Linked DNA regions of Xenopus tropicalis. The protein of the gene in region 1 interacts with the protein of each later gene in a biochemical or structural test. Links are inferred from orthologs where the notes say so. Each region holds a gene or a part of one and is shown in the gene's direction. Other genes may lie near its edges.

What was found.
Region 2: the proteins of dcn (region 1) and tgfb1 form a complex in vitro, tested with the Homo sapiens proteins (3 studies listed by BioGRID). The link is inferred for Xenopus tropicalis from reciprocal best matches to the Homo sapiens genes DCN and TGFB1.

The regions. Positions count from the first base shown.
Region 1 is NC_030679.2:55,503,869-55,517,157, reverse strand, and holds the start of dcn (decorin precursor), read left to right. Parts: upstream 1-6,059; 5' UTR 6,060-6,211; intron 6,212-6,218; exon of another isoform or gene 6,219-6,303; intron 6,304-12,369; 5' UTR 12,370-12,399; coding exon 12,400-12,625; intron 12,626-13,289. UniProt on the Homo sapiens protein: May affect the rate of fibrils formation.
Region 2 is NC_030684.2:79,284,988-79,298,276, reverse strand, and holds the end of tgfb1 (transforming growth factor beta-1 proprotein), read left to right. Parts: intron 1-615; coding exon 616-767; intron 768-2,219; coding exon 2,220-2,337; intron 2,338-2,459; coding exon 2,460-2,537; intron 2,538-3,814; coding exon 3,815-3,965; intron 3,966-4,170; coding exon 4,171-4,324; intron 4,325-7,680; coding exon 7,681-7,839; 3' UTR 7,840-8,955; downstream 8,956-13,289. UniProt on the Homo sapiens protein: Transforming growth factor beta-1 proprotein: Precursor of the Latency-associated peptide (LAP) and Transforming growth factor beta-1 (TGF-beta-1) chains, which constitute the regulatory and active subunit of TGF-beta-1, respectively.

The DNA.
Region 1 (13,289 bases):
GGAGACAGCTAGTGATGAGCGAATCTGTCCCGTTTCGCTTTGCCTATAAAATTAGATTTTTTTGTTGCCCACGTCTTTGTGGTTGCCCGTGTCTTTTTTGTCGCACTCGTCAATTTGACGCGCAACTAAAAAAAAATTCCATGCAACTAATTTTTCCGCAGCGAATTTTCACAGAAGTTTCGCGAAACAATTCTCCCATGGCGAAATGCAGAAATTTGCTGCAAATCCATGCCTGGCGAAAAAATTCGCTCATCACTAGAGACAGCAGGTAGAGCTGTCTTGTTCTTTGTGAACTGTACCTTGTCCAAGGTGATTGGAAGTTCTTGGTTTTCAAAATGGGTTAGTGTTATGTTCAGTCTTTGTAGAGGCAATAGCATATTGATATGCATCTTTTCAAGCTAAGCAGCACAGGTAGCAGTGCAGTCTTTTTGGTCATTTTGTTAATTTGGCCATACACGTTCCAATTACGATCTTTCCTGCAACCAGTGGTCACAGGAAAGATGGTTCGTACCCTCCACTGACATCCAGGTCTGAATCGTTGGAGATGGTGGTAGAAACAATAGAAATTCTACCTCTATCTGACAATTCAGCCCTAAACACAGCCTTTGCTCGGGCACTTCTAAGCCGCACAATGAAAAACATTTGTCCCACCCGATTAACGACACAACCGATATCCAAGGCTTTTGCAATATCGTTCGTCTCGTAGATCCATCATACACACACTGAATATCATACAAAACCTAAATTTGTACGATAACATCGGTGCCTGGTTGGCACGTGTAGCCTGGCTGGAGTCAAGAAAAATCCTGTGTGCTTGAACACTACTGTGTTACAGTGTATACCAGTTTATGCTACTTGACTGGAATCAAGAAGGGTCAAGTCAACGTGCCCAGCCATATACTATATCTGTATGATAACAGTAAATCTCCCTGGAATTGGTTACCAATATGCAAACTAGGATTTTTTTTCAATATAGAGGTTGATGTACATGTGGTTTTTTACTCACTGGATAAACTTTTCCACATCTCTGTATGTGGAGATGGTGGCCTCACTCTCTTTCTAGTTTTAAGAATTGTGAATGTAGAGATATTAAGATGTTTTTTTTTTTATCATACACAATTAATATGACTATAGTTGTTAATATTTGTATTACAGGATTCTTATGTATACGTTCTTTGCACTGTGGGAGTCCAGTGTCGGACTGGCCAACCAGGATACCAGGAAAACTCCCGGTGGGCCCAGGTGTCAATGGACCCTCCTGCTTCTGACCATTTGGCCTACTTCAGGGTCATTCCCTATTTCTGAATGGAAAGAAAGAGGAGAAATAGATGGAAGAATAATTGCTAGCATGTAAATAAAAGAGACTAGGAGAATAAAGAGGCTGGGTGAGGAAAGGAAGAAAAATAGTTTGGAAGTGGGCCTATAGGTTTTCCGGGGGGCCCCTGGGTTCCCAGTCCGACACTGTGGTAGTCCATTAGTGTACCCTTATGTTTTTCTTGTCTAATGTGATATTATTTTATTTGTTTTCTCTGACCATACAAATGAGAGAGGGGTTTTAGGATTAAGATGCCTGAAGACATTTATAAGAAAGAAAACCTGCCTTTTTGTTCATTGAATGTGATAAAGAGTAACTATGTCCCTGATATTGAGGAAAGTACTTGATGGTGAGTTTGGATATATCACTAATTACAACCAGTTTAATTTAATCCTGAATATACTTTGGTATGACTGCAGCAAACTTTGAAATATATCCTTTTGTGTGATGAAGGATTTACTATGCAATAAGGACTATTAATGGACATGGTGAACCTGATAGTGTTATGTAAAATGACAACAGGCTGGAATGATTTCGTTTTGCAAATATTGATCACTATGATATAAGCCACATGGAAGCAGTAATTGTGAAAAGTTTTGAACCTGTGTATGATGTGTCTCAATGTCGCAAGGACAAACTACAGTATAATATGATTCAGGTGGAGCAAAGAAATACGAACCTGTAAATACATTGTATGCGACTGATAATTGAGGGAGTTTTTGACTTTATATATGGCTTTAACTTTTTAATCTTGATTGTTTGTTGATTGGCCTCCATTGGCTCATTTGTGATCTAAGAGTAGCTCTCCAGGGGTGATCTAAATGTGTGATCTGAGTAATCTGGAGTTTTTTGCTTTAGCTTTTTTTTGCTAAATGTTCCTAATTATACAGACATAGATTCTAATATATGTAGCGTGGTTATACAATATTACTTCTATTGATCTATTGTGCAAAACATAATATGTTGCACACTGCTCCTTGGCAGCATCTCCATTATTACAATGCCTAATACTGTATACACCACTTGACTAGAAATTCCATTTGCTTTCAATGTATCTGGAGCTAAAGTTTCCATTGTTTCTTAATGTATTTAAAGTATTTGGAGTGTTACTACCCCTTGTCTCTCACTGCATAATGTATTTAGTATTTGGAGACATTGTACCATTATATGTATATAGAGAGAGAGAGAGAGTCTGAAGATTAGGGCACATAGGGCTTTTTTTATAAACTGGCAGAGAAACTTCCTATTTATGTGAATTGAATTTGCTCGACATCAAGTACAGTTGGTTCTTGACCAAAAAAAACACACATAACAGCTTTTTAATAATGACCTGTACTGGCAGTATTAGCAATTAGGGCTGTGACACAGAAGATATATTGTCCTCTATTGGCCAGGTAACTAAAATGCCCAAATACCACACCTCATAATGTTAAATGGAAAGCACATAGAGCATAGAGCATCGAAAGGCAGACCTCCACCTCTCAACTATCTTTATGCGTCAGTCACATATATCATATCATCAGAAACTGTGACAGGCAGATAGAGATGTTTTAACCACAACTGGTTAAAATATTGCCTTATGGCAATGGCAGATAGGGAGCTTTGTTGCTCACAGGAAATCACACTCCTCATGGTCAATAAAGCACTCCCTATCTGAGCAGGTAAAACTGACTTCTTGCATAACTGAGTGCAAAATGCTCTCATCCATATGTTTTAGTATTCTGTTGCCTCTGGGGCAAAGCGCCTGATCTGGCATTGCCATTAAAGTTAATGGAAGGCAGTGTGGGCCAGTGTTGGGCCATTTCCCCACTCACTGAAATACAGAACAGGTTCTATACCAGTATACCAGTATATGCAATTAACTCAAAGCAAATCAGTGGTAACAACATAGAAACACGGGAAAGCCATCAGTTCAGACACCCGATTCCTTCAGGAGAGGTGTTATCTTGTTACCTGCTCATTGTTCTGTTTATAGGCTGCTGAGGGGGATTAAAACGACTCCCAATATCCCCACCTACAGGTGGGTGATATTGTACTAATTTGGTCATTTTGGCCATAGGGCCAATGCTTTATTGCTAATGATGCTGTTGCTATATTTGTTTTTTAAATCTGTATATATATTTATACGTTAAATTATTTTTGTAGAATCCAGTGCTTAAATGACTACAGTATGTAAACTCCATTTGCAGCATATATCATCTTCCTTAAGTTTAAGCATCATCTTATATATAGACATTCAAACAATTTAAATATGGTATTCACATTCAAGTTAGTTTTATGATTAAAGGAGACAGCCAACAGAAAACAAATAACAGTTGTTATGTATGTTCTTTGCCAAGTGAAAGTTTAGGTCTAAACCTTACTGAACTGTTGTTGCAGTTGAAGAAAGTTGTTCATGCATCAAAGCCTTCAAATGTCAAAGAGTTGAAATAGTGTAAATGAGTCAACATTCCTTAAAGTCAATGTGTGAGATTACTAACAGTTACAGGAAATGTTTATTTCAATTTATTTCTGCTCAGCTTGGTGCCAATACCAAATGAAGGGTCCACATTGTCCCTTAATAATTTCTGTTGTTGACCAATTAAATGATATCTTTTCACCCATGTCAAAAATCTAGAACTTTCCCAGCAATTAGTTTGGGAGAAAATATTTCTTTCTTTCATAGACAGTAAAAAACTGCCCTATGATCCATTTTTTGTGTAAAACTAAAATTGATCTATTCCCTTCAAAAATAGTAAAAGGTAGCAAAATCTCTTTTCAGTGTATGGGAACATTTAATCTAGTTGTCTAAAATGTATCAGTTCTCCTGACTTATGGCAAAGACACTGAAGCTGGATATAGTACAGAGCCAGCAAAGTATTTACTCCTGGAAAGCTGATCCAATGATGCTGGAAACTGTCCTTGCTATGGGTGCTTATACTTATAGCATTTCATAACTGTTACTTATTAGGTGGCTATTTTTTATGGGCCAGTACCTTCTTTCCATTCAAGCGCTGATGTTAACTATAGAAGCTCAGGGTAGTCATATCCCATGCCACCACAGCACTTTGCTTAGTCTTTTTTGCTGTCCGTGTCCATACTTCAGCACATCATGCCCTACTTCTTACTATTTGCACTGCCTAATTTGCTGTCAGTCAGTAGGTTCTATAATGTTCTATTCTGGGAAACTCAGAAGAATGTTAAGAAGTTCTTATATGAGAATGATAACTGGAAGAATGTTAAATAGAAAACTTTACTATGTCAAATGCACTTTGCTATCAAAATTATCCACTTCTTATTACAGACTTACCTATGTTTTGGTGATCTCTGAGACTTGAAATTGGACAACTCGCTCTATGAAATTTTGGGCCAACATTCCCTATAGAGAAACCATGTTCTTTGCACTCACCCTTCCTATCTCTCTCTGTTTTGATCAATGTTGTATTCTCTTCCCCATTGTATTGGCCATACATGAATATGTGCATATCTACCTAGCTGGTATGTTGCCAAGTGTAAGTGCAATGTTACTAGCAGGGAGGTGGAACTAAGGGCTGGAGTTGTAAAAATTGCACAGAGCTAGTAAAAAGAAAGTGTTTACCTTAGCGTGAGTACTGACTTAAACATCAGCTTTACTTCACCTTTACTTTACCTTTAAGTACTGACTTTGTGTGAAGCAGCATAGCTGGGCATTTGTAATGCTTTAAGGAAGCTTACAATGGACAATCCAATATGTAAAATGATGTAAAGCACACCACTAATGATAGTGAAAAAGATTTTTGACTGCCTTCCGCAGACATAAGTACGTTATTGCACCTGGTCTTAGCCTTAGGGAAGGCAAGGTCTTACACGTCAAAATTTTAGAGCCAAATGCTTATTTGTGCCTGAAGGGATATATATTTTACTTGCTTTTAGTACGTTAGTATTAATATAAAATGCATTTTTGTTTGAATTTAAAATAAATGTACTGAATTTTAATAAGTCTAGGCCAGACCTGAACCTTAATTTGTATGTCTACAAATGTATATGTAATTAACATTTTAATCAAATTCATTGTGATTTCAATAAAAATTAAAACATGTTAAAAACACACTAGTGTTGTGTTTTGGATTGGTCAAGTTTTTTTTTTTTATAAATGTTGGGCCTGAAAGCCTTTGAACATAAATATAGCATTTGCCTGCCATAACCCTTCCATTGTGGTCATCTTTGTAGTTATTTCTAAATGAGGGATGGCGTTACATCTTTAACTACTCTGTGCCTAAATAACAGAATGTGAATCTCCAGTTTTCAGATTATTGTTTCTGTACTAATTGTAGAATTATTTTGATTTTGCACTATAGTAAAGTTTGTGAATCAACAGGCATTTCTAAATAAAATAATTAATTGTAAAATAACTTTGCTGCTGTTTTATTATTCCACTAAATGAACATCTGGATATTAAGGACATTGTGAGAGAAATGCTCATTTTCTTTGCAGTGTTTGAGTTAAATGAGTCAGCTTCCTTTATGCTGCTGAATGAATAATCGTATTACAGTAACAGCAAAAAAAAATGGTCAAAATTTGTAACCCAGAATTTAAATAGTTTACCAGTAAATCAAACGAAAGCTCTGCTGTGTGCACAGTTAAATAAGGAAAGTAAAAAAGAAAAGCCTGATACATTTCTGGCTAAAGAGCAGGAGACATATCATTACCATATGATCTAATGTGGGTGTCAGCCTGGATTGTGTTCATTGAAGGAAACTGCTTTCTATAACAGTGCTTGGGAATAGGAGCAGGAGGGTTTTCCACTAAGTGACAGTGGTTGAGCACTGGTTCTACCCCCTCCTTCTTTGCACACCTGTAAACTCCTTTTGTCTGGACTGAATATTTAAATTACATCTCTGCTTCTAGAGTTCTTCTTGGAAATCCCAGGATAACAAGGTATGAAATGTATTAAATATGCAGCTAAGTTAGAACTAACTCAGCATTCATGAGACATAGGGAACAGCACGTGCATTTTGTTGAAAGTCCAGGTAATAAAATACCCTTTGTCTAATGACATAATTATTTATGTAGCTTTTATTTTTAGAAGCCTGCAAATGTTAACTGTTCTGTCCTATTTGTACTCTGTTTTTGCTGTTCTGTTGTTGAAATTAATATAATGCTTCTTGTAAGAAAGAACTTTCTAGAAAATTAATATAATGCTTCTTGTAAGAAAGAACTTTCTAGAAAATTCTGGTAAGTACAATTGTTTCAGATTTCTTTTGTCTGACACAGAACAATGAAAAGATGTAAAACTTTCTCATCTGTTCTGTTGTCTAAGCCACTTATCCTCCTGGTTTTGCCGTGTATATTATATACAAATACAGGTTTTTTTTTGTATCTGTGACAGCTGGAGATCTTTATATACTGCAATATGATTAAAAAGTGACTATATTTCATTATCCACATGCTACATAGCAAACTTAGCCACAAAACATCCAATTGAGTCATTTTGCTTGGCAGTTGTTATAAAGCAAATAATGGAAATACTGTAATTTTTCGGCAGAAACATGTACCTAGGGCTGAAAGGAAAAAATGAGAGTACAGCATGTTGATGTTTCCAGTAGTTCTGCATCTGATTGGATTTGCAGTCTGCTTTAAATTTAATAAATGCAATTTCAATATGTTCTTTCTGCAGTTGTCTTAGTTATATGTACTATATACCTATAAAGAACAAATACACAATGAAAACAAAAGCCTCCCACCTGATTAATACACACATTATTATTTTTTCATTTATATCATAGCTGACATTAAACTTAAAAGCAATGCAGCAGTCAGTGTTGTAAATAGAAAATGTTTAACTTCAGATTGTACGTAAGCATGGCGAAGCATGAAAACCCTGAGATGGATGAAACAAACATAAAACAGGAATCATATATCAGTGTCTAGAGCTGCATTCCACATATCCACAGTTATTGTATTACAGTACCTATGCACGTGGAGGGGGCGGGGTCAGCTTTTAAGCCTTTTATATAGTATTGTGGCTGCTGGCAAACTCCTATATCCTGCATACATTTTCATACAATTTGCCTGAAATAATTAGAAAGAAAATAACACTTTTATAAGCCAACACTGTATTATGAGAAGTGTAATACTGTATATAGATGCAAATAAAACAGACAGAATGTTTATATAGTATCATGTAGATCCAAGCATTTTGAACAATAAAGAAATAAAAATTATTTATATAGGAAGATTTTTTTTTAAGCAATGTTTTAAAGATATGGCAAGCCAGAGCTAATAACAATATATTTTACTTGTCATTATAAAGGAAATGTTGGGGAGTCCATTGTATTATTATAGGCAAAGGAAAAATACACATTTATACCATGTATTTATTTATCCCATCCCATTATATGGGACATTATTCATATAGGTAGGAGGAGCTAGTTTACAACCACAACTACATACATTTACATGTGCCACAGAAATGGAAGCTGTCATATTTGCTTTCTTCACCTGAGGTATTTCTGCAGATTTTCCCTAGTAAAAAGAACAATCTAAGAATATCTGTATGCTGTAGATATTGCTCTTCTTTAGTATAGACACCCAGTCTATCTCTGCTAGACAACATGGCAATTTGCTTTCATGGGCAAAATCCATGCAGATATGCAAAAAAAAATGTTTGTGCACATATTAAATAAAAACACTTATGCTGGCACTGATAGTTTAAGGTAATGTTAAAGGGGAACTAAAGCTTAACAAAGAAGTAAGCAAGAAATGCTGCACATTATGTTATGACATTCTATACCAATCCAATACCACACCAGGCCTTTAGCAGGGAAGATTTGTGCCTCCAAAGATGACACAGTAGCTCCCCATCTTTTTTTCTGCTGATTCCCTGCCCAAGCTCTGTGCTGTTGTCACTTACTGAGTTCAGGGACCGACTCAAAATATACTGTATATACTGAATATAAATGTCACAATACAAGGCTAACTAGTAATTAATTCAGATTCTTATTACATGGCAACTCAGAAACCAGTGCAATTTGCAACAGAATTCAATTATCAGTTCTGTTGAATGTTTTTTAAACCTCATTTTTTCCTTGATGATTTGTGACAGCCCCTAAGCTTAACTTCTCAACAGCTGCCCAGAGTCCACTGAGCATGTGTGTCACTGAGACTTCTAGCAAAATCCAAGATGGTGACCTCCTGTGCACAATGTTTAAGGCCTGAATCATTATCTCTATAAAGCTTCTGAAACTTTAGGCTGGTGCAGTAGGTTTTGTATATAAAATGTTAAATTTCTACCCATATTTGTTTTTAGACCTTAGTTCTAGTTTTAATGGAAGAACCCTGACTATAAGAGCAGGTTTTCTTTTACTTGCACTTTATAACTAAGAAAGGTTTGACTGCTAAAAAAAACAGTCCTGGAGGACCGAAATGTTGACTGTAACAATAAAACATGTTTTTTAAGACCCTTAAGTGCTTATATAGATATATATATATACATATATATTGTTTATATATTTTTTATATATATATTGTTTATACCTTTATACCTTTTTACCTTTTTTTTTATTCAAAGTGGCAGACCTTCATCTGTTTCCATGAATAAACAAGATATGTTAAGTGCATTGCTGTCCGATATATTTAACGTAGCAACCAGTTTTGCAATACTTCATATTAAAAAAGTATGACAATGTTAAATAATAGAAACAAATTATGCAAAGAAGTCTATGGCACATTTAGGAGCTAGGGGGCCATACGAATCCTTTGCAAGGCCATATCCAACCAACATACTTCAAGTGGGATATCACTTTCTAAAAGGAGAGACAGTAACAGACCAATGTTTTCCTTACAACACTCAATGTCGCAATGATGATGGGTTGCTATGAATCACTAGGGAAAGGAACTGATGGTCCATATCACCTCACATATAAGCTCCTTCCTGTTTACAGAGAAATGTAATTTGTAGCTTACATGATGACTTCCTGGTGACCTCTGCAGGCTCTGTTTAACAGATTCTTAAGCAAAATTCCAAGCTGTAAAAGAGGAAGAAAATGGTTTATATATATTAGGGCCGTGACAGAGGGCAGTCCCCACACTTCCCAAAATGCAACACCCATACGCCAAAGACTCCGGTCTCCAATACCTGGTAAAAACAGCAGTAAGGTAGGGAGCCATGATGCTGGACACTCATGTCTTGTCTATGGTTCCCTATTAATTAGGAGTAATCACAGTTGAATCAAATCTGGTCCTGACTTCAGTTGTTCATGCTTTTGGTGGTTGATCGCTAGCAGAAAGACAGGGATAGGAAGTAAAGTTGCTCAACGGCTGCCAACCCCAGCGGCACTACTCTTCTATACTGGGGAGTTTGGGTGATGTGTTTCAGGAGGGGGTTCTCTACAGGGCCCTTAGATGTATTCATTTGTTTTTCTTGCCCTTTATCAGTTATTTATCAATTATGTATACGCACAAAGTATTAAATGGACACTAGATTAGACCTTTTTTGTTTCATCCTTCAACCTTGTTTCATGTAAAATATTATTGTACAGGATATGAGGAATAGTTTCTGATGCTGTATTATGAAAGGTCATTTACAATCACAATTTGCCATGTTTTTGTTCCCCCACAAAGTAAGTCAAGTGCTTCTCTAGATACATTTGTATGTGATTCAGAACAGGGTGAGGAGCAGATACACTGGTGATGAATACTACTACTGTAGAAATGCAAGAGGCGTGTTTGGACATTTAAAGCTTACATTGTGTTGTTTGGCCTTGCCCCCCCCCACCCCATGACATCAGACAGCTGCCATTTTCTAATTGGGCAATCCCTTATACTGGATTTTTCAGAGTGTTAGGAAGGCTCTGGGTGGAAACTCTTAATATACAACAATGGACCAAACAGGACAAAACAAGGCAGAAAATAATCTGTAAAGAGTTAATTGTATGTGTAAACTGTTAAGACTTGTCTTTGTTTCCCCAACCCTGTAAAGGTGTGAGAGATACAATGGTGCTTTATAGACAATAATAATACCGACTCTACCTACCTAAAGTTAGTCCTATAAAAAAGTCTTGATTCACAAGCCCTTAGAACATTAACAGTGTGTTTAGTGCCTCCGACTCTTCTTCATACACGTTTTAAGGAGTCCACCAGTAAATATTCAATAATCAGGTATTCACTGAAATACATTAAACTCATAATTTTATACAGTCTTATTTATGAAATCAATAATATCTTCACAAACACATTAAGCTATATGTCCCTTTAATCTACAATCCATTAAACAATCAGCACAGCTAGAGTTTTGACAATATATTTAAAAATATATACAATAATAATTTGTAATTACATTTTAGTATTTTATAAAATTACACATTCTAAGCAACTTTTAAACTGGTTTAACATGGGTTTTGAATGACCAGCCATTCTTTTCTTCAACTTTCTGGTCTGCAGCTAAAGAATGAAATATGGATATCAAGTTTACTGACACTAGCAAACAAAAAAAAGGCTAATTTATAATTTTTTTTCTTTTAATGCAGGCCCTCTACTGTTCATCCATTGTAATTGCCGCCTGGTTGCTAGGGAACTAAGCCCTAACAAACAGATAGCAGTTAATATGTCCTGTCTGACAGCTCCACAAACACACTGAATAATCCAAAAATTAGAAAAAATAAAAAATGATGACCAAAATTTATCTTAGAATAAAACCGTCTACATCACACATTAATTAATTTTAAATGTAGGTGAACTGTTTTAAGGTATAGTTAAAGAGCCTATCAGTGAAAAACGATCAACATTACCAACAGAAAACTTTTAATGTACATTATTACTTTGAAGAGTTGTTTTTAAGTGTCAGTATCACTTTAAGGCAGTTTGGTTTGAAGATTGCTGTGGCTTTCAATTCATGCCAACATTTACTCCAGTCTGTTATCTATAGGCTGCCTTTTCTGACTTGATGGTGCACTGGCACTAAAATATGCTATCAGTGTATGAAAGGTTTGTTACCTCTAATGGTAAGGTTAGATAAATTACTTTCCCATGCCAATGCAGTGTCTGGGGGAAAGCCTGAACATAACTCTCTGCTTAGCTGATCATAGACTGGACACAAAGCTAGTGAAGATGTAATTTAGCAATCATTATGGATCTGTGTCTATGAAGATCTCATTCATCCAGGTCATGATATATAGTATCTAGTAGAATTAAGTCTAAAACAACTGGACCATTCTGAGTTTTTCTTGAAAATGTTTCACCACTTATCTGAGTGGCTTCAAAATGACTGGTAGGGAATTTAAACCCCTGAGGGTGGTACAGTCACAGGCAATCACCATTGTGATTGGATGTATTTTGATGCATGCTTTTACTATCAGTTGAGCCAAGTCTCCAACATACTATTCCCCAAACTACAAGTGAACAACTGGTGGACGTTGTTGGTTCTGCATCCCTTTTTTATTGAGTTTTCGAGCTATAAATTGTGTGCTTCCTTGACATATTTTTCTACTCTGTCACACTGTTTCCTGGTTGTACTTTACAAACTGACAGCTCATGGGGAAATTTACCTTATAAACTAGGAGAAATCTGCCAGTGAATCACAACATGAGTGTATTAGTTAGAGACGTAAAAATGTTAAACAAATGTAAGAAAATAAAGATTATTTTGGAAACAAATAGTAAATTGTTTATAATTTGGAGTTTCCATTTAATGATAATTAAGACTTTTTCCAGTTAAAAAAAATGGGTCTGGTATTTGCGGAAGAATCTTAATTCAGTTATTCCAGTTCAAATCAGTTGTTTTATCTCCAGCCCATTTAAGTCTCTCATTGACTAGAAAGAGGAAAGAAGGTATTAGTGCAGTTAATTATCTGTGTACCTATTTCATACTATTTCTCATTTACATTCAGCAAGAACCTTGGAATTAATCTCAATACAAAAGACAGATTTAAAAATGCAGGAAAGATTTTTTTATAGAGTTGGAGAGGTCTGTAATATACTTGCCATTGGACAAATGTACTATTTTAATGATATCCAGATATTTATTTATAAAATAAATGTGGTAGAGAACAATGACTAATGTTGGCTATTATTATACCGTACCTTTCCTTGCGCTCCTAGGATACCATTTGGGCTGGATGAACTAAGAAGATGAAGGCAACTATTATCCTTTTTGTACTTTTGCCACTTTGCATTTCTAAACCCTTTCACCAGAGAGGCCTGTTTGACTTTATGCTAGAGGATGATGCATCTGGGGATGGGTCATCTCTATGGCCTGAACCATCTCTACCCACTGATGGACCAACTGGACCTATTGGTCCTATTTGCCCATTTCGCTGTCAGTGCCACCTGCGGGTTGTGCAGTGTTCTGATATAGGTAAGTAGTAGCATTGTACAATTGTTTTCATGCTGCATTCAAAGTACAAATTACAGTATTTGCACATCAATTCAATTAGAAAATATCTAATTCAATGAATAATTTCTCAAAAGACATCTTTTGAGTTTGATATGATAATCAAGAATTTTGAGGAGTGCACAGAAAAGAACTAACCATGCTAAACATTGAGGGAACTGTACATGTCTCATTGTTTTTTGTACATAAGATAACTGAGTATCTCCATTAACTACAGGTATGGGATATGTTATCCGTAAACCTGTTATCCAGAGAGCTCCAAATTACAGAAAGGGCATACTCATAGACTCAATTTTAATCAAATAATTAAATTTTTTTAAGAATGATTTCCTTTTTCTCAGTAATAATAAAACAGTAGCTTGTGCTTGATCCCAGTTAAGATATAATTAATACATAATGGGGGCAAAATAATCTTATTGGGTTTAATTGATGATTATTAATACATTTAAGGTATGGCGATCCAAATTAAAGACTCCTTATCTGGAAAACCCCAGGTCCCAAACATTATGGATAACAGGTCCCATAGATGTAGAATTTGTTTCTGTTGAGAACAGACAGAAAACTATTATGAACTGCTAAATTAGAAGTAGATGTATATTTGCACAATCTTTACCTACTGCTTTCAATG
Region 2 (13,289 bases), on another chromosome or scaffold:
TACCAGGGACCTATAAAGGGGCAAAATTATGTTCTCATCCCTTGAGTCAATGCCCTTTTTTATACAAGACAGCACTTTATTTGCTTTAGTAGCCACAGAATGACACTGCCTGGCATTAGACAACTTGTTATCAACAAAAACCCCTAGATCCTTCTCCATTAAGGATGCCCCCAACACACTACCATTCAGTAGATAGTTTGCGTTTATATTATTTCTACCAAAGTGCATAACTTTGCACTTATCAACATTGAACCTCATTTTCCAGTTTGCTGCCCAGTTATCTAATTTTGTCAAATCGCTCTGCAAAGCGGCAGCATCCTGCATGGAACTTATAGTTTTGGGATGTTCCAAACTACAGGTACATTCAGTGTTAGGAATGAGAACGGAAAAGAACTATGAGGAACTAAGAGGAATGGATAAAGTGGCATTGCTAGGAGAGAAACATCTTTCCCAGTACTGCATCTCTGATACTGAAAGCTTACAGCAGGAACTCCTACAGTTATGTCACTGTTTCCCTGAGACTCTCTGGTAATAATTATAAATGTGATGTCTGTACAGTAGGAGAGCAGTAGCGATAAAATGGATTGACATATTTCTTCCCTTCGTATTCCACAGAACTGAAAGAAAATGAATTTTTGTTTACATTTAATGCATCACATGTGAGGGAAAATGTGGGAATGAAGTCTCTCCTGCACCATGCTGAGCTGCGCATGTACAGAAAGAAGCAGACAGATAAAAATGTGGAACAAAGGATGGAACTCTATGCGGTATGATACAGGCTTACGTATTTTATTACAAAGGTTCAGTGAAACATTTTGTTGCTATTCAGGTTGGTTCTAGTGGTTTTTTGTTCAGCAATGGCTGCTTAAGAGCATAAGAGAAGCCCAATCAGACTGTCTGTGCAAATGAATACTTGGTGCCAATATTATTAGTAGGAGACACCTCAGATGGCCTATTTGATGCATAGCCAAAACTCACATACATACACAAATATTTTCAGTCTCTGTTACACTTTGATAGCTGGAGTTTCCCTGTTAAACCAGATAATTCACCCATTCCTGCAACCATTACTCATTTGAATAGGCAAGTGGAACAGACAGATCACAAGGGAATTGCTGTGAGTACAGTAGCTTTAAGGAATAGAGAGCAAAATAGGCAATGGAAACAGAAACCAGAACACAAAACACACAGAGCAAGGCACAAGAGAGAAAAGGGAATGTTTTGTATGCAAAACAACCCTATTGGATTTATTTAAAAGAGAAGGAAAGGCTAATAAAGAGTTAATCTCAAGCTGAAGGCATACCTTCAGTTGTCTGAAAAGTGCCCTTAAGTCTCCCCATATTTCTCCCGTTCAGATGATCAGAAGCCAGACAGGAAGAAAAAACGCTGAGCTGTGTAAAGAAAGTTCCCATAATGCCTCACTCCTGCACAGACACCCAGACCAAGTGAACATGCTCAGTTAGTAAGACTATGGGGCAGATTTACTAATCCACAAATACGAATGGGAAAAATTCAGATTGGAAACGAAAATTTCTGAAGATCGCTAATATCTCGAAAATGCTTACGAAAAAAATCGTATTACTCACGATAATATCGTATTGGCGATCCGAAAGTCACAAAATTTTCATAGTGACCATTGTAAACAGCGGCAGAGCCTTTCCGAATTTTTCGCACGGGCGCAAAAAAAACAATACGCAACAATATGCTCGGAGCCTTCGTATGAACGCTCCGAGCATTCGGGTCTTAGTGAATCTCCCCCTATGAGTCAGCTTCCTGCTGATTGGCTCAGATCCACATTCCTAAGGGGGGGAGTGAGTTCTTATTCTTGAGGAAGGGGGGGAGCAGCAGAGAGGAGAGAGCTGAAAGCTACGTGTCTCTGGCAGAGGAAAAGGACACAACTAATCTTTTTACAGAGAAGTCAGTGCAGCATTTCTGTGAGTGCTTATGGCTGTATTTACATAGACCTTTCTGATAAAGCTTACTTAGTTTTTACCTTTCCTTCTCCTTTAATGTTTAAATGATTTGTAGTAGACCTAAGGCATGAAGATCCAAATTACAGAAAGATCCCTCATATGGAAAACCCCAGGTCCCAATCATTCATCCCAAGTATTTACATGTCATCTGTTGGATTAATAAATCCTTCTACTGTACAGAACTGCAGAATATGTTGGCGCTTTATAAAACCTTGTTGATAGTAATGTTAACCTATTCTCACACAGGGTAATGGAACTGATTACTCAGGATACCTGGATAGCAAGTTCTTTACTGCAGTAACAGATGATGAGTGGGTGTCATTTGATGTTACAAAGACTGTGAATGAATGGCTGAACCATGCAGGTAAGAAGGAGGAGTAGGTAGATATTTTGCAAAATAAGATACCAAGAGTGAGCAGTACATTTTAGACTATACAACCTTTTTAGTTGTTGTCCAGAAAATTAATCCATCTGTCCTATCTACAGAGGAAAATGAAGAATTCAGGTTGAAACCTGCCTGCAAATGTTCAATAACTACACACAGCAAGGTTATAAGTATAGAAGGTAAGAGAAGCTATGATATCTTTTCTATCTTTGTGTACAAAAGAGATAATTCATTTTTTTAATAACTGTTTTGTTAGATTGTTTATTTTGAAAAATACACATAATTTAGATTTATTTCAGGGCTATTTAAAAACCACATTTGTAGTTTTGGAATTTTTTTCTTACCATAAAGCAAAGATTTTTGCAACGATTCCAGCATAATTGCGGTAGTTCGTTTTGAGAAATTAGATGCAATTAGGTGCAAAGTTTGTCAGAGTGGGGATTGTGTAATAATGGTTCTTGTGCTTGATTCACTGTGTGAGTCTGTTGCACCTATCAATGCAGGCAGCAGTAGGAACCCTGGAATTTCAGCCAGCTTGAAAGTGGCAATATCTCAAAGCTTCCCCATGCCAATAGGTGCAAATGTCATTCACATGTGACAGAATCCACAGCACCAGTCAGGAGAATATCTTCAATAATAAAAGGCCTTTATTGCATTTCAGCCAAATTCAGGACAGTGTGGGCAATGTTTCAGGTCTAACAGGCTTTTTTTCAAGCTCACTGTCATTCACATGTGACATACTTGTGGTTGCATTCATAAATTAGTTCCCCCGTGATTTAACTAGCCTGTGTGGCCATTTACAGAGTATATTAAATAATAGATGGGCAGGGTATCTCAATACCTAGTTTCTGATATATGTTTGCAGGGAAAGTATAGGCATCTTTTCCTGATGATTTTCTACTTAATCCCCAGCTTACATGCCTACCTAGTTCCTTACTATCCCTGCATTGTATTTCCTTTCATTCCCCACATCATATTCTCCCATCTCACTTTTGTTCTCCCACTCCTATTAATTCTTGCAACTCCCACAGATCCAATGAATCTGTGCCTCAGTCTCATCACTTCTGCATATATGTCAACTGCAAATCTTTGCCAATTAAGTGTGGGGCCACTTAGCTGGCCATGCCCACAAAGAGGTGGCACTCTCAATCACAAACCAAAGTGACCCAGAAATACAGGCCAGTGCTTGGACTAGAGGTTTGACCACCTCCCAATATCTAATTACAGTATAGATGAGGCACCAGGACAACAGGCGTCCTGGTCTTTAATATATATTGTTATTACCCCTGGGCCATGCAGCCTGGTTTGATGCCATGACTGTAGAAACTGTAAATATGTTGTGTTTCAAATGTAAGAGGGAAGAAGAGCCAGGTACCCTCCAGGATATGCCTTGTTACTCAAGTCTGACATTGATAAGCAGTATTACTAACCTCTTAACATGCAACTTTTTTTCAAGGGTTTTCTATTTTGCGGGGAGACTTGATGAATTTGGGTGGTGATGACCTCAAGAAACCCTACCTCTTGATCACGTCAATGCCAGCAGAGCGAATTGACACTGTCTCACACTCACGGAGAAAGCGTGGGGTTGGACAGGAGTATTGCTTTGGGTAAGTAAAGCAGATCCAATTTGTGTTTTTGTGGATAAATTGCTGTGTTCACATTGCTTTTCAATAGCTGCAAAACCTTCAGCATAGGGGGAAGAAAACTGGTGGTTCTCATCTTCTTATGGTCATGCTATATGAAAAGCATAGATATCATGTAATTAAATTATAGGGCAGGTAAGAAAATGACTCACTGGTCTTGCTTTTGCAGAAATAGTGGGCCAAACTGCTGTGTGAAACCGCTTTACATAAATTTCCGGAAGGATCTAGGCTGGAAGTGGATCCATGAGCCTAAGGGATATGAAGCAAATTATTGTTTAGGAAATTGTCCTTACATCTGGAGCACAGATACTCAGTACAGCAAGGTGAGTGTTGACGTGCTCAGAATGCAGTGATTATTTGAAAAAAAAAATGGAGCTCTTGAGCATCTTTACAGTACAGATATGGGACCCATTATCAAGAAACCATTATTCCAGAAAGCTTTGAATTTCAGGAAGGCCATCTCCCATATACTATATATTATTTCCTTTTTTTCTGTAATAATAAAACAGCACGTTTAACTTGATCCCAACTAAGATATCATGAATTCTTATTGAAGGCAAAACAATCCTATTGGGTTTATTTAATGTTTAAATTATTTTTAGCAGACTTTTCAGGTATGGATATCCAAATTACAAAAAAAACCCTTATCTGAAAACCCCCAGGTCCTGGGCATTCTGGCAACAGGTCCCTTACCAATGTGTAATAGTGATAGAGATGATAACATGTGAGGCATGCATCCCCATTCCTGCAAGTATTGCATAGCTCCACTCACTAATAACACAGCTTCCCTCAGAGCTAACACATTGTATGTTCCATGCAGCAGTAGTCTTTGTTTTTTATTTTTACTCTTTAAGTCTGGCCACCATAGGACACTCATTTGGCTTACTTGCATGGTGATCCAAGGGTTGCCATGACCAAGTGGTGACACTGTAATTTCTTAAATGTTTGACTAGCTGGGAACGTCTGAGAAAAGGCCTTAATAGTAGCTCATTTTTTCAGGTCTGTTAGGAGAAGGCTGGTGCCTCAACATATTGTAGCTGTTATGGCACATTACATAATCCACAGCCTCCTTATTTGGTGAAAATTGCTACCAACATTAATAATTACATTGAGCTGTTTTATCACCCTCCACTATATTATTACTAATTTGTGTTATTGCAAAACAAAAGGGAAACAAGGGGGATGATTGGAGAACATATGGAGAATAGTTTGGGTTAATTAAAGTATAGGGCAAGTAAAAGTAGAGTGAAGTAGGGAAAAGAAGAGTGAAATGTGGGCAAGAAGGCCAGAAAACCAGCTAGTTGCACTCTCTAGGGATAGGGAATAATGGATGTATTGCATTCAAATGGAGCACCCATTTCCATGGGATGAAAAAAAGGGAATAGAAGGCGAGAGCAAAGTGAAGGAGAAGGGTGCCAGATTGGATGGGAGGTGAGGTCAGATCAAAACAAGAAGGAGGATGGTGAGGGAAGCAGAGGGGAAAGAGAAGACTAGAAAGGAGAATAAAAGCATTGAAAAAGTACAGAAATAAAGGACTGGAAATAAGAAAGCAGAGGGGGCAGTTGATAAAGAGGGGACCTCTGCACAAATTCTGATAGGGGCAGCTGTTGGACTAGGGTATGTCCTTTTACAGGTGCAGCTGCATATTTTTGGCAGGAAGTTAGTAGCAATGTTACAGTATAGCTGCAATACCCAGTTTGTAGGGGCTTTTTTCAACACATTTTACTTAAAACACCAGCTTTCTTCTAAACCATTTCCTTTATTTCCCAGCTCACTCCACTCACTCCACTACAGTTCTGGCATAGATTCTTTCTCATACAAAGCCATGTGGATAGCTGCACTTGTGCACATCTTTTGCCTTTCAGCAGTTTGCCAGAAATACAAAATCAGGGACACATACCACTGGAAATTATAGATCAATGCAAATAATATTATTTTTCCCAGCTCACAATTATTTGTCATATCTGATAGATTTTTTGGGAATATAGCAGTCATCTATGTGGCATTAGTATTACTGTCAAGTCTTTGCTACCAACTGTACATTTACTGGCTTTAATTGCAAAGCTGATGGACCTAGTCTAACCTAGGAAAGGATTCATGTGACATCCACGCCAAATTCTATCCCCTCCTTACCTTAGATACCAACTATTAACTATAGAACAGGGAGCCCCAACCTTATTTACTCGTGAGCCACACTCAGATATAAAAAGGGTTGGTGAGCCACACAATTATGGAAAAAGTTCTTTGGGGATGCCAAATAAGGCTTGTGATTGGCTATTTGGTAGCCCCATGTGGATTGCTTGCCAGCAGGAGGGTCTGCTTGGAATAACATTGGGTCTCCAAACCAGAATTTTTAAAACAGGCTCCTGTTTTGAAGCCACTGGGAGCAACATCAAAGGGGGTGGTGAGCAAAATTTTGCTCGCAAGCCACTGGTGGGGGTTCACTGCTATAAAATATACTGTTACTACACTAGTCCTACCATGTACTTTACCAGTTCTTTTCCTACTTTATGGTGTTGACATGTACACTTCCCACTGTTTACTGCTACCATGCATTTATTTTTTTTCAGCATTCATTTTAATTTTTTTCTGTTATTCTGCTAACACTTGCTATCTTTCTTTCATTCAAAAATGACTTATTTTCATTTAAATTATCTTGGCAGTTCCGAAATGTGCATCTTATACCAGTTCTAGCTTGTCCTGTAGTACTAATCCTGGCTCTGCATGCCTTTCTCATCATCTTCTATTCTTGCTTTTGCAGCCTAAGAACTTAGCTGAACCCAAACATTTATTTACTTTGTACTTGGACTGTGTCCTTGATGGAATTGCATTCCCTGATGTTTTCTAGTACAAGTTTCTTACTCACTCACAAGTTTCACACTGTCCACTCTCAAGATAAATTCCAATATTTATTTTCCCTTAACTAATGCTCACTGAATAACAAATCTAGCTCCCACTGCTTCAGTTATTCTATACCGAAGTCTCTAATACAAGTCTTTCCAAAATTCTCCGGAAGTTGCTTCAGGTCTAAGGGTTATGCTTTTTTTATTGGAATTATGTTTTTATGAGGGCTGTCTTCTCTTAAAACGTTTAAAATATTATGAGTGAAACCATCTGTTCTTCTGAAGAGAACTTCCTATGATTATGTGCTACGTCCTATGTATACATCAAACATACATATTATATACAAATGCTGACCAAAACAAGAGGTGAAAAGGGCCCTGCTGTTTTTACAGTCTCAAGGGAGAAGGGGGAATGAGAGCCATTAGGTGTTGGGTAAGATGGGGTATAGCAAAGTGAGCGAAATAGCATTGGGTATTGCAATTTGCAGGTATAGAACAAAGGTATGCTTTGCAAGATGATGGTAAACCTCTCTAAAGAAATGCTTTTTAAAAGACCATTTAGATGGTGAAGGATCAGGATTGAGAAAAAGTCTGGTGGAAGGGAATTCCTGAGAAGGTGTGCAGCTCAAGCAGCTTAGGTTTGTGTATATTGGGTAAGTGATATAGGGTAGGGCAGAATTGGGAACTGCTTTGAATGTAAGGGTTTGCATTTATATATTATAAAATTATGCTTCCAAAATATCATAACATCTGATAATTAATATCTTGCAATATCGCAATTTATCAAGCTAATCATTTCTAATAGTATGTGTGTATTGATGGTCTATCTTATGCAGGTGCTATCACTTTATAATCAGAACAACCCTGGTGCATCTATCTCTCCCTGCTGTGTTCCTGATGTCCTGGAGCCACTACCAATCATTTATTATGTTGGCCGCAATGCCAAGGTGGAGCAGCTTTCTAACATGGTGGTAAGGTCTTGCCACTGCAGCTGAGAAAAGCTTGGGGGCAGAAAGCAAAGCAAAGACATGGTACAGAATCCTAACAAACCACCTTACTGCTGCCAGTTGCCAACATGGATACCATGAAGTCAAGTCATGAAGATCAAGGAACCCTTTGATTTTACATATGCAAGGCACAAATGCCGAAAGCAGTTAGAAACAACGCAACCCACACATGGATTTAGGATTCATCTACAACAATACACCCTTGGTTACAATATCTGTGTTTCTGGACTTCACTGTTCAGTTACTGTATCGATTTTTTAGCACCCCACTACAGCTTTTATGAAAGTGCTTCCCTGCCAAAGGTTATGGACATATACCAAGTTTTGGCAAAGGCAAAATCTTGGTTCAGGGTAAAATAACTCATCTGAAGCATCCAGTCCATGTAAAGGGGTTTTATATACAGTTACGGCAGAGAAATAAGCAGTACTCCCCTTGATAAATAAACCGAAGGCCATTTTACAAGGGACAGAAAAAAACACAACCCCATTCTAGAGTATCTTTGGTGCCTATTGCATTATCGTTCAACAAATTAAAGAGTGATCCTTATTCAATAGATGCTGCCTTTCAGGTCACAACACAAAAATGCCTTACAGTATAGATTAATACATTTAATGCTGAGCACAGATTAGAGAATCTCAACTCTTTATAGATTGTATATTTATTAACATAAATAATTGCTAAATAAATAAAAGCTCGAGCATGTCTTAAGGTATATTGACAAAAAAAAATATTAAAAACTGTTTTTGGTAAAACATGGGTGTTCATCCATGTTCATATCAACTCTCCCAACTTGTAGAGCTATCAATATGTTAAAAAGAAACAAAAGGCATTTATTTACAAAGCCAGAATACAGGAATCAATCAGAAAAAGGAACCTATCGCTGCAGCCTCAGCTACAGGGCAGACCTGTAGGACAAAACTGGATGAAATACAGAATACAGAGTGCCACGTACAGGTACCCACTGAACAAAGAAGGAGCTAATAATTCCTGTTTAAAAGGAGAAGTTTTTTTTTTTACCTTTTTAAACTGTATTATTTTATAGTTTTTTTTTATATTTAAAATATTTTGTTTTAATGAGGAAAAATAAAAAGAGGTACATAAATATGTTATGTGTGTGTGTATATTTCTATATTAACCTCCCCACAATTACATGATGTATGCAAAGCTGTTATTCAGTAAAAGTCACACTCCTCTTTCTATACAACAGAACTCACATACTGTACAGGAACCTTCGCTGCCTGCTGGGACAATGTGCCACATAACTGCACTAAAACGTTGTACTATATATGGCATCATAAATGGGCTTAGTTACAACAATAAATTTAATTAATAAAGTTATTAAGTACCCCTTTTCAGGCAAAGCAGATGCTGAGCACTGATCTATGGTAATAAGATTATAAAAACTAGAAAGGGAAGTTTGAGAACAAACTTCATGTTCGGTTGAAAAACATGAAGTCACTGAATGAAATCTGATCTGTTATTGGCTCCGCCCACTTTTTCTAACCTTGGACCACAGTTATATAGTGAAAACCACTGTGCAAAGTTTGGGGACCCTGGTTTTAATAGTGTCTAAATGGCAGCAATTTAAATTTCCCCACTGAAAGTCAATGAGTGACATCTGATTGGCGGTCGGTGGCTCCACCCACTTTTTCTAACCTTGGACCACAGTTATATAGTAAAACCACTGTGAAAAGTTTGGGGACCCTGATTTTAATAGTGTCTGAATGGCAGCAATTTAAATTTCCCCTCTGAAAGTCAACGAGTGACATCTGATTGGCGGTCGGTGGCTCCACCCACTTTTTCTAACCTTGGACCACAGTTATATAGTAAAACCACTGTGAAAAGTTTGGGGACCCTGATTTTAATAGTGTCTGAATGGCAGCAATTTAAATTTCCCCTCTGAAAGTCAATGAGTGACATCTAATTGGCGGTTGGTGGCTCCACCCACTTTTTCTCACTTGGAACTGCAGTTACCCAGTGACTAACTCTGCAAAGTTTAAAGACCCTAGGATTAATAGTTAAAGAATGGCAGTAGTTTAAATTTAAACCAATAAAAAACAATAGGTAAATTGTGGTTGGTGGGTGCGCTCACTTTTTCTAACCTTGAGTCGAAGTCACTCAGTGACAAACAGTGGGCACCCTGGCATAAATAGTGTGAGAATGGCAGCATTTTATATTTAAATCAATAAAATTCAATGGATGGAATCTGATTGGCTGTTAGTGGCCCAACCCACTTTTCCTATTTTTGAACTGCAGTCCCCCCAGTGACCAACTGTTCAAAGTTTGGAGACCTGGCATAAAAATTGTGAGACTGACAGCATTTTATACTTCACCATTGAAAGTAAATAGGTGAAATGTTATTTGGCCATTGGTGTCTCCACCGACTTTTTTCTAACTTTGAGCGGCAAATACCCAGTGACTAACTCTGGAAAGTTTAACAACTCTGGTATTAATACTTAAATAATGGCATCAGTTAAATATAAACCAATAAAATGGGTAGAAATTGATTGGCTGTTGGTGGCTCCACCCACTTTTTAAAACCTAAAAATGCAGTCCCCTAGTGACCCTGGTGTTAATACTGTGAGGATGGCAGGTTGAATTTCCCCATTGAAAACCAATAGTTAAAATCTGATTGGCTGCTGGTGGCTCCACCCACTTTTCCCAACTCTGAACCACAGTTACCTGGTGACTAGGTCTGCAAAGTTTGGGGATCTTAGTATTAATATTTAAAGAATGGCAGCAGTTTAAACATATGAAGTCTATAGGTGAAATCTGATTGGCTGTTGTTGGTCCCACCCACTTTTCTAAACTTGGAACAGTTTGAGGATCCTGGTGTTAATACTGTGAGAATGGCAGCAGGTTAAATTTCCCCATTAAAAGTCAATAGGTAAAATCTGATTGGCTACTGGTGGCTCCGCCCACTTTTCCTAACCTTGAACCGCAGTTACCTGGTGCCTAACCCTGCAAAGTTTGGGGCCCTTGTGTTATTACTGTGAGAATGGCAGCAGGTTGGATTTCTGCCAAGTCAATAGGTAAAATCTGATTGGCTGTTCATCATATTTTCATTCAGGCTGACCCCATGACTATGTGATTCAAGTTTGGGGAGTGTAGCCTCAAAGCTGTAAGATTGGCAGCAGTTTTAATTTCCCCGTTAAAGTCAATGGGTAAAATTTGATTGGCTGTTGTTGGCCCCTCCCACTTTGGGGACATCCAACAAATGTTGTTGTTTCATTCGGGGTGACACCATTATTATGTTATTCAAGTTTGGGGGGGTGTAGCTTCAAAGCTGTAAGTGTGGCAGCAGTTTGAAAATCTTCCCTGTCAAAGTCAATGGGAAAAATGGGGGGTTCGGAGCGGTGCCACAAAAAGACGGGAGCGGGATCACTTAAAAAAGCACAAGCAACCTGCTCCGCTATAGGGTGAAGAAGTGTGGAGAGTTTGGGTGTTGTACCCCTAAAACTGTAGGAGGAGTAGCGTTTAGAAAATGGGGGGCGCTAAGAAGAAGAAGAAGCGGAAGAATAAGCTGAAGTCAAAGAACAGTATGTTGGGGGTTTTCAACCCAACACAATTCATTGTGCACTTGGCCTAGGTGAAAACTAGTCTTTCCCTGGGGAATAGACTGGCAGTTAGGCCCCTTGATACACCATGAAGCCAAATGTTGTTTTTTTTTTTTTTTAATGGGTTGGACTTGCATTCCACTTTGGTTCACATTGAGGCACGTCCATGTTCTTCAGTTCTTCAGTGGAGTTGGCTGTTGATAATTGAATTGTGGGTAATTTGGGTCTAGCCCTACTCAGGCTACTAATCCTGCACCATTGCTCCTATATGAACTATACATACATATAAAACGCCATAAATACTTTAGGCAGATGGGCACATAACAGTGTTCAAAAACCAGGTATATTTCTATGTAAGGATGAGTCACAGGTAAATATTGCTTTATGGCGTATGGTAGGGACTTCCTCAGCAGCCATTCCTTTCCCAGAAATTAAACTAACAATCAGAAGAAAACAATCAGTGACAAACACAGGAATAATAATGTAGGGGACATTGCACTTGACTTCAGCTAGTGCATAGCTGTTCATGTACCACCATACAATAATAGTGAAACTAGGTGCATTCATATGTTTAGGACTGACGGCAATATCTAATCCTGTTCCCCCTGCTTTTTTACATTTCTAGTGCCCTAAAATCCTTCCCATATTTCTCCTCGGAAGGTTCCATATTCTTAGCCCCCACAGGGTGCTGAGTTCAAAGCATAGCCAGGGTAGTCACACCCTGTGCATCTTGCAGTGTTCTTCAAAGGGTTTACAGCAGCTGCATGGTCTATAGTTAGCCCATCATGGGTTAGAACTGTCCTGTATCTACCCCCTCCCTTATCAGGCTGCTTCATATTTTTCCTGGTCACAGAATATCCTCTTTGTAGGTAATTATAGCTTTCTGGATAGATATGCACCCACTAACCAGGCTGTAAATTACTGGCTTCACTATCCTCAGAATAACTCCACTGTCTCTGCAGCCAAGACTTATTTACTAATGTACAATAGGATGGTTCCCTGAATAAACCCCCTATAGGCAAAGTTGTGTTGTGAAGTATTCCAAGTCCCTTGGTGATTGTCTGTTTTAGCTTTCAGGATATGCTTATTTTCTTTTCTTTACGAGGCATTTTGACTGAAAGGTTGTAAAGCAAGTTACATAATTACCACGTTTCCATGATGCCTAATATTTTGCATTTTGTCACAGTGAGACTCCATGTTGCATAGCTTCAGCCAAGGGTGGCACACCATGTTCAACATCATCCCTCTGTGTCAGATCCACTAATGAGATGGGCAGACTAAATGTTCCTTCTGTATCTCACCTTGGAAGGGTCTGTTTTAGTGGAGCATCCTACAGTGGGTTCTAAAGACACAGTACCCCATTGTTAATCAACAGAAAGTACTAATCCATTCAACATAGCTGTGACAAAAATGCACTCAAAAGCAAAAATGTGAAGTCTCTGCTTAGCGCAAATGCACACATGAAGAGAACAGTCAGAAATATGTGTGTATATATGTACATAAAACAGTATTCTGTAAAAACTAATGTTATATGGCCAATAGGGCAACAAATTACTTATAGAAACATGTGCCTACTTTTTGCCCAAAGGAAAGTGGATAACCATTACACTTCACTCAGGTACTTTCTAGCTGAAAACCAGCTGCCTACTCCATCTAGGGTGGACAAATGTAGGCAAGTTCCTTTTTTTATACCCTCTTTCTTTGTTCAAACCCCTTTCACAAGAGGTAAACCATGCTGCTTAAATTAGGATTGGCAAAGAAGGCAGGTATAGCACATCATAAGCTGGGAACTATATGGAGTCTTGCACTAGAAATATGGGCAAGATAATCTGCATACTATTAATATATTGCCAACATAAACCTTTATTAACTGAAATATGA